2 linked regions of the Drosophila melanogaster genome follow. Changing the gene in region 2 together with the main gene of any one other region gives a genetic interaction. Each region holds a gene or a part of one and is shown on either strand. Other genes may lie near its edges.

Region 1 (5,235 bases), on a different chromosome or scaffold from region 2:
TTCGGTCCTATGTCTCTGTCTTATGTCTTTGTCTTTATTTTTTGGTTTTTTCAGTGCCAAATTCTGGGCTTACTTCATTTAAATATTATATTTTATAACCAATTCGTTTTTAACTTAATATACTAAACTAAACTTCTCTCAGTGCTGACATTGCTGGCCGAGTGCAATTATTTTAAGCATTCAATTGGCATTGGCAGTTCGAACTCGAATCGACCGCAGACCGCAGGATATACGACTGGGCTGGCAATTATATGCATTTAAGTGCAATAACCGTCATCAGGACGAAGGACTCGGTTGACTTTTCCTCGCATTTGATGCTCCGGCAGACGCTAATTATTTTAATGCGCTCCGCAATTGAAGCGCGCGCTTCAGTCCGCTTTACCCCCGCCCCCGGCGCCCTAATTTCCCCGCCACTAATGACCTTCGCAGGTCACCTGACCTTTTCCCCCTTCCGCTCATGGTTCTCTCCAGGTTGGTTCAGTTCCTCGACCGGAATCAATATCAATCAAACGGAAACCGCCGCTCTCGACAAATTGCATTTGTTCATCCCGCTCCGCTTCCCTTCCTGCAATTAGTCCTGGACTAACATGTGGCCACCGAAACAACCCAAAGGTGAGCCTAACCACCGGGCTATTGGCGTGAAATTTTAATTGCCATCTTGTTGTCTGAGAGCGTGGAATCGAAAAAAGCGACGCCCAAATGTCGGGCGTATAAGGTTTTTCGACTCAAAAATCGAACAATTTGGTGTTAATTGAAGTTCTAATATATAAAGCAAACACATTTAAGGAGCTCTTAAAATATGTCAAGCCAAATGGGACTAAGATTATTTTTAATAAATCAATGATAAAACATGATTGATAAAATTGTTTACTGGCTTGACGTTATTCGCAGATTTCTAAGCGAATATATATAAAAGTATTATAATATTCTTATGTGATGGGAAAGACAGATGTTTTGACATTTCGGAATTGAAAAGTTTTGGTAATTTATGTCTTAATGGTCTAATTGTTAAAGCAGTGAACATAAAGCAGAGTTAATATTTTTGGAATAATATTTTGTTCACAAAGAAGAGTACTCTTCACATAGTAATGCAGTAGCATCGTCTCCATCTCTCAGATCCAACTAACTTCCTCGTAGCGCCATTTTAGGCCTTTTTCAAGGCCCTGAAGAGCTCAAGAGCGTTTGACCGACATTTGGTGCTATAAAAACCGAGAAACCGGGGAGAGACTTTATTTCACCACGCCGTGGTGGATTCACCACGGTGCCGGCAACATGGCGCTGCGCGAGAGAGTGACAGCCGATGAGACGGCGAGAGCCGTGGAAGCGAGAGGCAGCGAAAGCGAGCGACTGGCCATCCCCCTCCGGCCTTCGGTAGCATATGCGGCCCAACCACCGCCTATGACAAAGTGGCAAAATTGTTGCCACAGCCGCCGCTCGAGCCTCAGCCGCAGTCGGCGTCGGCAGCAGCGTTGGCAGCGGCGGATCGGGCAGGTGCGTTTCATAAACGTTCAGTCTCGTTTTGGCAGCCAAGCCGCTCACGACGTCGCTGGGTGAAAAGTTGAGATAAGGCCAAGAAAACAAAAAAACAAACAAATAGAAGACAACTTGACATCTATAGGAAACTCCAGTGAATGTGAATTTTTTTAGTGAAGTGTTGAAAGCAAATATAATTCGTATAAATAATCGGCAAGAAAAGGGAGAAAGAGTGAAACCCCCTAAGTCCTATGAAAGACTCGATGAGCATACTCACCCAAACGCCCAGCGAGCCAAACGCAGCGCATCCCCAGCTGCACCACCACCTCAGTACGCTGCAGCAGCAGCACCACCAGCACCACCTCCACTACGGCCTGCAGCCACCGGCGGTGGCTCACAGCATCCATAGCACCACCACCATGTCCTCCGGCGGCAGCACCACCACCGCCTCGGGCATCGGTAAGCCCAATCGGTCCCGCTTCATGATCAACGACATTCTGGCGGGCAGTGCGGCGGCCGCTTTCTACAAGCAGCAGCAGCATCACCAGCAGTTGCACCACCACAACAACAACAACAATTCGGGCTCCAGCGGCGGCAGCAGTCCCGCTCACAGCAACAACAACAACAACATTAATGGCGATAACTGTGAGGCATCCAATGTTGCTGGCGTCGGTGTGCTGCCATCTGCCCTGCACCACCCACAACCACATCCGCCCACGCATCCGCACACACATCCGCATGCGCTAATGCATCCGCACGGCAAGCTGGGGCACTTTCCACCCACCGCCGGCGGCAATGGGTTAAACGTGGCTCAATATGCGGCGGCCATGCAACAGCACTATGCCGCTGCTGCTGCCGCGGCTGCTGCGCGCAACAATGCAGCTGCTGCTGCAGCCGCCGCTGCTGCCGCTGCAGCTGCTGGTGTAGCCGCACCACCCGTCGACGGGGGAGTGGATGGCGGGGTGGGGCTGGCGCCACCGGCGGGCGGCGATCTGGACGACAGCAGCGATTACCACGAGGAGAACGAGGACTGCGACAGCGGCAACATGGACGATCACAGCGTTTGTAGCAATGGTGAGGTGAGCCTCTGTACTATGCGGGGGGTGGGGTGTTGGCGGCATTAGAGGGTGGTGGGTCAGTATAGCATTCTCGCTAATTCTCGAAAATGCATTTTCAAGCAGGAATTTTCTTCATTCAAAACAAGTTCGCAATGTTTTATAAACAAATATTGGGTCGAAATAGAACCAATTATCAACAAATCTGATTAATGTTGAGCCTTATGATAAAAAATATTCAATATTCAAATTATCCAAGTCATTTTAAAATAAAGCTATCACTGCCTGGTGCTAAGCTTATAAAGTACATATCAGATATTTTTACAACTCTACGACCACTTGCCTTTTTTTTTAAACAGTTGTCCAGATTGTTTTGTAAAGCTAGACACAAAACATGCAGATCTGATAAGTTTAATATTTTTTAATTTGAACGCAAATTTTTTATTAATGATATTGATATTGCGTTTTAGTAACATATTCCCTTTAGGTGATATTAAATATATTTGCACTTAACCAATTCTCAAATGTAGTGAGTGTAAAGGCAGTCGTAAAATAAAATTACTCAAATTCCCCTTTAAATCGTGTTAATGGTTCTGTTGTGAAACGCATTTCATCATAGCCAATTGAAAAAGTAATTCAATTAGGTAAAAAATAAGTAAGTCCGTTGTGCAGCAGTCAAGTTCGTTGCCTAAGTCTTTTGTATTGAAGCGTGCGCCTGAAATGGGGGCTAAAGTGTGGAGCGCGGGGGTGGGGCGGCGGCCCTCGTCGATGTCGCTTTGCAAAACAAACTGTAAAAATTATTGCATGACCATTTTACATTCTCGTTCTTGTTGCTTCTATTTGTTGTGGTTTTAGTTGAAAAAAAAAAATACTTTTTCACGCTTTGTTTCCGTCATTGCGAAGCTTCTAAAGTCCCCTTGCCTCCTCGCCCCTCCTCAAACTTGGGGGCATGCACCTGCGAATCTGAGAGCTATTATGGCAGAATGGAGGCGTGGCTCGCAGTGGGCGGGGGGTTGGCGGAAGAAGAGGATCTGCCTGAAATGCAACAACAAAATGCAGTTTAAAACTGCCGCAGCCGCAGAAAAAATCTCAAATAATTACACACATCGCACTCACTGTTCCCCGCTTCGCCGCTCGCTCTGCTTCCTCCTCCTATCTCACGCACCTGCCCCCTTCGCAATCATTTAATTGTGGAAATTGTTATAAAAATGCATTTAACCCGCTTTAATAGACGCCCCATGGCAATGGCAGCCGGGCAGCAGCAAACGAAAAAATGTTGCAGTCTGTTTGCTCATCTCATCGCCACTCGGTTCGTTTTACTTCGCTTTTGGCCAGCTTCTCATGCGCTCCACTCCATCTGGGCCCTGTTTTGTGCCATTTATTGCCGCAATTTCCTGTTGCCAATTGCACTTTTATAAACGGTAGTCGCGTCGGCCAGCTCTTTTGGGATGACAGCCAGCGGGCAGGGAAGGCGGCAATCCGTCAATTCATTGGAATTTCACAATTGCGATCAGCTTCAGTTACAAAAAAACCAAAATGAATATTGATCACTAGATTTTATTTATAAATTTAATGAAAAATCATAATTATAATAATAAAATCAGATAGGAAAGTTAACTTTTAAAGCTTATATTTGAATTATAAATTTGTAAAAAAAAAAACAAATTAGGTTTTTTTTTAACAACACTGTCGCCCAATTTTATTTGGCACATAATTCTTGATTTTTGGTTTTGCCTTTTTTTTAACGCTCCACAAATTATCGCCCGCAAATCGATAATTCAGCAAGTCGGCGCCAACATTCGTGAGTAATTTTCTTTAATTGCAAATTAATTTTATTCAATTGCGGCATTATCGCTCATTTATCGCTGCCATTAATCATTTATCGTTTACGTTTTATATGGTAAACAACTTTCGCCTTGGCGGCAAAATAAGCTCTTGATTAGCGATGATTAATAGAAATAATTAGCAATGCATCTTTATTTGCTTCATATTTCAAAGTTCAATTAGAGGCATAGCTGGATTTTCAATAAATAAAATAATATTGACTTCTTGGTATCTCATTATCAATAACAAAGATTGAGTCCACTTATTTAATGGATCGTGCAAAATTAAAATCTTGAAAAGATTTTATTATTGTTTGTCTGCTTCCTGATAAATTTATATGCTTAAAACAACAAAAATATGCTAAGATTGTTAATTTCCCCGTTTCTAGGCCTTATTAGACCAAATTTAAATGCGGCACTTGGCAAGTTTTCGCTTTAAATAATTTAACGCTTGAGAGTTTACTTAGCCCGCGTCAACCCCTTAACCCCCTCGTGCCCATGGGCCAAAAACTCGCTCTCGCTTATCGGGTAACCACCATCGGTTGAATTTACATAAATTTTATGTACTAAATGGCTGGCCAGAAAAGGTGGAAAAGCGGCCTTTTCTGGCCAAGAACACTTTTCGCAAAAAGGGGTGCTTTGGCCTGGTCAGCTTGCCTATCTCTCTTGCGGCTTTTTGTGGCAAGTTTAGACATTTTGCGGCACGTTTTTATTACACTCACACACACACGAACCGCTTTGTGAGCGGAAGCGGCAATTGCGTGGCCATAAACGAGCCTCTAACTGTATCTGCAACTGTTTTAATAGATCGCACAGAGATCTAAATCGAATTAGCCTTATGGGCATACCAAATCACCAACAAATAGTGATTTTCGGTAAACCAT
Region 2 (6,870 bases):
ATAGATGACCGGCTGCTCCAAGCGATTGGGTATATCGTGCAGACCCTGTAGCCCCTGCACAATCTCCTGCCGCACTTCATCCAGATTCAAGACCTTCTCGAGCGGTATGCCTTCCTCCACTTCGATAGCGTGGCGCAGAACTGCATCAACCTGCTCCTGCAGTTGCTTGACCATAGCAGGATCTAGACGAAAACGGCATGGTATGTCCGCCCGGAAAACACCCGATTCCAAAGCCTCCACATGACCACCCACATAGGTTTCCGAATCCAGTACGTGTCCCTCGTTGGAGAGCTTATTCAGCTCACTCTGATGCTTGTTGGGATACACAATCTGGGCATGGTAAGCCTCCACCATCAGCAACGTTTCACAGAGTGTGCCGGAACCCTTTCTTAGGATCTCATCGGGTTCCATGGGAATAATCGTATTTAGGGCGAAGATAAATGGATGCACATACTTCATGTACAGATAGTATGTGGCCACCGCATCGGATACAGAGTAATTGGCCAGCACTTGGGGCTGTTCCACGGCCATGCGGCACATATCCTCCGGATCGAGTTCCACAGGATCATAGCGTAATTTAGCCTTGGCCACCGCCTTTAAGCCTTGAGATCCAACAGGTAAATAAGAATCTCGTTTCACCCAACATAGGCAATCCATGTGTATGGCAGGGCGACTTAGATAATTGCCATCCCGTAGCTTGGAGAAGCCAATCTCTTGCTTCATGTCCAGATCGTACACTGCAGCACGCGTCTCCACGAAGGGCCAATCGAAGAAGTCGCCGTTGTATGTAACAATGATGTGGGGACGCACCTCCATGATGTGATCGAAGAAGCGCTGGAGCAGCTGCATCTCGTTCTCTTCGTTGAATACTATAAAGTTACCCTCGAATTCCGGCTTGGGAGTGTACTCAAAATCGTCCACATTGGATGATATAATCTCACGATTGGTTATCAGATAACCCTGACCATCGATCATGTACGAGATCATCATAACCTGATCCGTCTGGGCATCGGGAAACTTAAGGGGCAGCTTAGTGGTTTCTATATCAAAGGCCAGGACCACGGGCTCGGGTCTGTCCAGAATATCCGGTCGGCAGGTGATCGTAGGCAATTCCACGCCACTTCTGCACCTGATATTGTACCACTGTCCACAAAAGATGCGCAAATCGATGGACACTCTGACGTGGTAAGGCACATCATGCTCCCTTATGTCCACAATACAATCCATGTAATCCTGCTGCCTCTTACCCAATGTGGCATCCTCGGAACCTGCGGAGGATTGGGCCAGCGAGGTGGCCAGCATTTGCATGTAGTATGTGTTGGATTTCTGTCGCTCCTGATTTCTCTTCACCGCGGACATGAGTTCCCTTCTAACCTTGGTCATGGCTGTCTGATTGAGAAACGAAAGTTTTATGTACTGCTGCTGCAAACCGGATAGATGATTGGGCAGATCCAAATCTTCTTTGGTTATGTGCTCCAGTCCAGAAATCTGGCCGGAATACTTGCGACCCAGAAATCGCGCCACTTCCAGATGCATATTATCCTCTGGTCGGATGAGTAAATATGGCTGATAGGCCACCGTGCATTTGAAGCGGGAACCATCCATTTGGATGAAGAACAGGTCCAAGGCAGCAATCAATCTTCTGTCCTCATCCAAAACTTCGTTCTGCAATTGGCATAGCCATTATTGGACATGATTTTCAACGTTTTATGGGCTTCCTAACTTACCGAATGCATGTTGATGAGGTAGCCCGTCCGCTCCTGGCTGTCCTTAACCCGATCGAAGCCATATTTCGAGTCGATTTTATCGTTCTCCCGGGATTGACGATAGCCCGCCTCATTGAAGAAGTCGTCGCTGTGGATAAGATTGGAAAATATCTTGTTCAGCGTGAAATTCACGAACTTTGACCACTCACCCTTCTGTGCGATTCTCGCTGACGAATTTACCCGTATTTTGCAGCACTTTGCCTTTGCTGGAGTCGGACATTTCCGTGCTGTTTAGCAGAAATAAAATAAATAAATGTAAATAACTTGTTGCCGCCAAAAATCTGCAAACGTCTCAGAAATGTGCTAACGCGTTGCAGAGAATGCTGACATTTAGCTGTTGCACAGCACTGTAAAGTAACACGTTTGGCGCCAATTTCAAAATGTTACTACAAATAAAAGAAAACAAGAAAATTATTAAATGGTTTTAAGAATATAAGTTTTACCTAGAAATCCTCAATTATTCTTAGCTTTGTAGTTCCACCTAACACAAATTAAAAAAATAATGCTTAAAATCTGATGAAATCATAAAATATAATATTTATGTTTATTTCATCACAGCTTGACCATTTTAGCTATAATTTTCCTGTAATGGGCATTAAATGCCCTATTTGCTGACAATTTAAGGACAGCTGCTGGCCAATTGAGTTGGCCTGTTGGCCATGTGTTTTCCAACTGCTGAAATGTGAAGTTTTTTCTACTAGTTCTCCGCTGCAATGGCATCATGCAGTCACGCACACAGGCGCATTCATTCATAAAAATCCGGCTCACCTACACGAGTTGTAAGATTCCAGCGCAGTGGAGAGAGGGAGAGAGAGTGGGAGAGCGGCGCGCATGCGCTCTTTGAGTTCTTTTTTTTCGCTTGCTGCACTTGTCGCCCCCTTTTATGTTTTTCAGTTTTACCTCTGCGGCAGCAATTAAGTTGCAGCAGAGGTTGACAATCAGCCATATTTTTATTGCACGTGTTTCGTTATGCAAGGCTGGTTAAGTTTTTTTTTTTTATGTGTACATATACGCTCCCTTGGCCGGGAAAATCGGGAACGCCATCAAGTTTTGTTATCCCGAATCTTATTGCCCTTTTTCTGGGTGCAGCTGGCCATTTGACTGCCGCCCCTGCACTTGCATTCACTTATGCTGTGTAATTTGTAATTTATGCGAAATGCGTTGCCGGAATATAAAAACATTGCAGTCGTTTCAGTTCCATATCGCCGCTCTCTGTCGCACACACTCTCCGCACACATAAACCTGTTTGTGTTTTTGATTTGCGCGAAAGAGAGAGAGAGAGAGAGCCTTTCGAACGCACAGTGGTTGTCATGGTCACGGTGGGAAAATATCGCGCTTAACTTTTTTTGGGGTGTCCAAAAGTATTTTCCCAAGCTGCAGCTTTCCCACATTGTGTGCAAACTTTAATAATGATAATAATAAGTTGATAATTTAATCTCACATCAAAATTTTCATATAGGTATTATTTCATATTAAATAAATATTTTATTAATTATTATAACAAAGAAACTAGTATAATTTTCCTTTTAAATAAGCTGGAACTGATATTTTGACCAATTTACTTTATTTGTCAAAAATATAGATTTGTATAAAATCCAGAATCAAAATAAATAAATTTTTATATCAGTGTACACAATTGAAAGACTGAGACTGCCAAATTTTAAAATATTTGTCTTTATTATTCCGCCCCCTTTGCATACTAAATATTTTAAATATACTAGTGATTTTGGGCACTGTTTAAATGCTTGCCAAAAACGATCGCCCGCACACACACACACACACACATACACGCACCCACACACTCTCTCGCATATTCGCACTTACACTGAGTTCTGAGCAAGCAGATTTTTTTTATAAATTGTTGCTATTTTTTTGTCGCTGCAAACACTTTGTTTTTGCTGCTCGAAATATGTAATTCTGATTTCCATTTTTTTCTTGCGCTCATGATGCACGCTCTAGTGCGAGTGCGAAAGAGATAGCGAGATTGAGGATCACCCACGCCTTTTCGTTTTCATTCCAGCGATCAAGTAAAATAGCGAATAATGTTTATAAGTCAGATTGATATAACTCTCGATTTTCATATTATTTGCCATTTTTGTTATCACTTGCCAGAGCAACACAAAAAAATATTAATCTTAGCAGCGGAGAGAAAGAGAGAGAGAAACGGAGAGAGAAGGTGCGTCGGCGTTGGCGTCAACGCTGCGTCTGCGCCAACGTCGGCGTCGCTGCCGCCTGTTGCCAGTCGGTCAGTCTGTTTTTGTCTTTCTTTCGGGAAGCGTGCACTTGCGCTACGGTAAATTCGATTTGAATGAATTATACGAATCAAATAACAAATAAATAACAAATGCAAAACACTTTGCAAGCCAAGCAAAAACCCAGTGTGTAAGTGAATGAGTGCAATAGCAAAACATCTAAAGATCTGCGCGCGCAATATACATCAAAAAAAGGAAGGCAAACAGCAACAGAAAAAAAAACGCGGTTCAGAAACACAGGAAACCAATTTCTATATACGAAATTCATCATAAAACCACAAAAATCTCCTCAAACATCGCGTGAGAGTGCCTGAGTGTGAGTGTGCGCGCGCGTGTGTGTGTTTGCCAGCGATCCGTCGGCCTTTTTTCGGTTTGTTTCTTTTCGCGTCTTATAAGCCGAGCTAAACCGATCCCCGATTTCTTCTCGAGTTGTTCCTTTCGGTTTTTCGTTTGTCTTTGTGCCCGGCACGTAATCCCTCTCTCTCTCCCCCTAATCAACCTGCTGATCCCACCGGAGGGTTAAAACATACACATCTATACAGCGTGATAGAGAGAGAGAACGAGCAAGAGATAGTCATCGGTGCTGCGGAGTCCATCAAGATTGTGCGCCTAATTTGAAGCTGTAATTAATTTGGATACCCTAATAAAAAGCCAACCGAAAGACGGTCTTTAGAATCCAGAACCCACAAACCAAAAATCAAGAGCCCAGTAGCCCCCGCCTTCTTGTTCACGAAGGGGCGCTATTTTATTACCCCGCACCGGTAAGAAAAGTGAAGTGTTGAAAAACAGTAGTTCAAGTATTAGTTTTTGTTATTTTCCCTACACTCGAAACAAAAATCCAGCGAAAATTAAAAGACAAAACAATTGAAAACAAATAATAAACCATATATCTCTTAATTGCTGTTGATATATAGTTTTGAAATATAACTTTTAAATCATATTTATCTTAAAAATATGAAATTTAGAGAGTTTCTTTTGAGTGCATGTAAACCCTTTTTGTGTTGGTGTTGCCTGTTTTCTTGAATGAATCTAGGAGAAAACTGGTTTGGCTACCGCTCGGTAGATCCGCCGATCTCGCGATCTCGCCTCGATTCAGGATTGCTGCCTCTATAAACTCGTTGTTGGCCAGGCCAACAGAATTTGAATTGGTTTTCTACTCGGCATCATAGCCAAGCTAGTTAGCCGCCAGTGTGCGTGAGTGTGTGTGTGTGGGGCACTTCCACAACCCTTGTGGGAAACACGCTCGAAATTACTACTGTTCCTTTTACAGCTTCCGGTGCGGCAAATGAGCTTCGCCTGCCCCACGATCGCGTTTCGGGCCATCAATCCAAGGGGTTTGGTAATCGAGAATGTGTGAACGGTTTTTGGTTAGGGTCAAGAATCTAGCACAGCGATCGCATTAGACAATTAAGTATCAATAAAACTGATACCGGAGTGCTACTCTTTTGACCTTTCGGTTTTAAAGTATGTATAATTGGGGCTTTCCTGTTCTGCACTTTGGGTTACCTGAAAGGGTTTTTAAAAGGATCTTACAATTTGGGATGTAAATTAAAGTAATTATTAATACAAAAAAGATCAAAGGATAGTTAAAGGCTTAACCGATATCATATTTTATAAAAATGTTACCATTAAAATGATTAATTTTACAATAAGATTTTGCTTAGATCAATTGTTATTATTTCTATGATAAAACTTGATTTACGTCCTTATCGCAGTCTTAAAGCCAAAAAACGATAATTTAAGGAGTTACGATCATTGAACTACTCTAAAGACATGTTTAATATCCCTTGGGCTATTTAAAAAAAACCAATTTGCGAGCAAAATACACAAGGGAATGATAAGAAATTATTGCCATAATCGATAATTTGATGTGTGACGATCGTCGGATCATAATTGAGCCCAGCTACCGCCAACCGCTCCTCTCCCTTTCCCTCCTCGAGCGTCTGGTCCGAAATGAAAGACCAGTTCAAGATCCTTTTCCATAAATACCCACAGACAATTACAGTTCAGTGGATGTTCGACGGGCTGGTTCGTTGCCCCATGCCACGTTAAACTCGGATTCTGTGCCCGGACCGATGCTAAAAGTATCAACCTGCTGCAGACAGGCCGAGATCAAGATCGATCCCATGACAAGACAAGACGACACACTCGCACAGATATGCCACACACACAGATACTCCGCACACATAGATATTCCGCACACACATGCAGTTCGGACTGTTCTGCGACAGATAGAACAACACATGTGTACACAGGCAGGCATCCCGAGGATCATCAGCGGATCGGAGATCCCTTCTTTACATTCAGCGCGAGGAAAAAAGGGCCAGGCGCTGGGAAAGAAAAGAGCAGCGACTAAATGTGTATTCTACCGTTACGTACACATCGAAAAATTGCACCCCTATTTGTTGCCGCTGCTGGTGTTTTAGTTGTTGCTGTCGTTGTCGTCTGGCCGAGGAGTGCGCACCATATCAAAAGATCATATTCGTTTACAATCTGTTCTTTAAGCATCTGCTGCGCCCAGACTCTCCTCCAGACATCAAAAACTCGGACTGCCAGACATCTTCCACTCGTTTGGTCCACTTACTATGGGCCAACCCAAAAAATTTTGCTCTTTTCCAGGGAAAACATATGCTCCGATTTTCGTTTCAATTCGATTCGTGTGGTTTTTTGTTGTCGCCCTCGCTCTCCCTCATACATACGTATATATAATATTTTATTTTATTTTATTTTTTTTTTTCGGTTCGGTTATCTACGTGTCGGGGCGATAAGGTTTTTTGTTCAGATAGTTTTAGCGATTGCGACTCGTTTTTGGCACCCTGCCGAATGATTTTTGGTGCTCGAAATGCTGCGAT

What was found. Genes that interact genetically often act in the same process or in processes that back each other up.
Region 1: of pnt (region 2) and B-H1, changing one suppresses a phenotype caused by changing the other (phenotypic suppression), as found in Drosophila melanogaster (one study listed by BioGRID).

What each region holds. Positions count from the first base shown.
Region 1 is NC_004354.4:17,395,970-17,401,204, forward strand, and holds the start of B-H1 (BarH1), read left to right. Parts: upstream 1-1,508; 5' UTR 1,509-1,724; coding exon 1,725-2,547; coding exon of another isoform or gene 2,548-2,552; intron 2,553-5,235. UniProt on the Drosophila melanogaster protein: B-H1 and B-H2 are regulated by members of the wg signaling pathway; wg and dpp. B-H1 and B-H2 are coexpressed and functionally required in R1 and R6 receptor cells and primary pigment cells for normal eye development.
Region 2 is NT_033777.3:23,343,307-23,350,176, reverse strand, and holds the start of pnt (pointed), read left to right. Parts: upstream 1-4,009; 5' UTR 4,010-4,779; intron 4,780-6,870. Other genes in the region: PolE1 (DNA polymerase epsilon subunit 1), read right to left, coding at 1-1,665, 1,728-1,854, 1,916-1,986.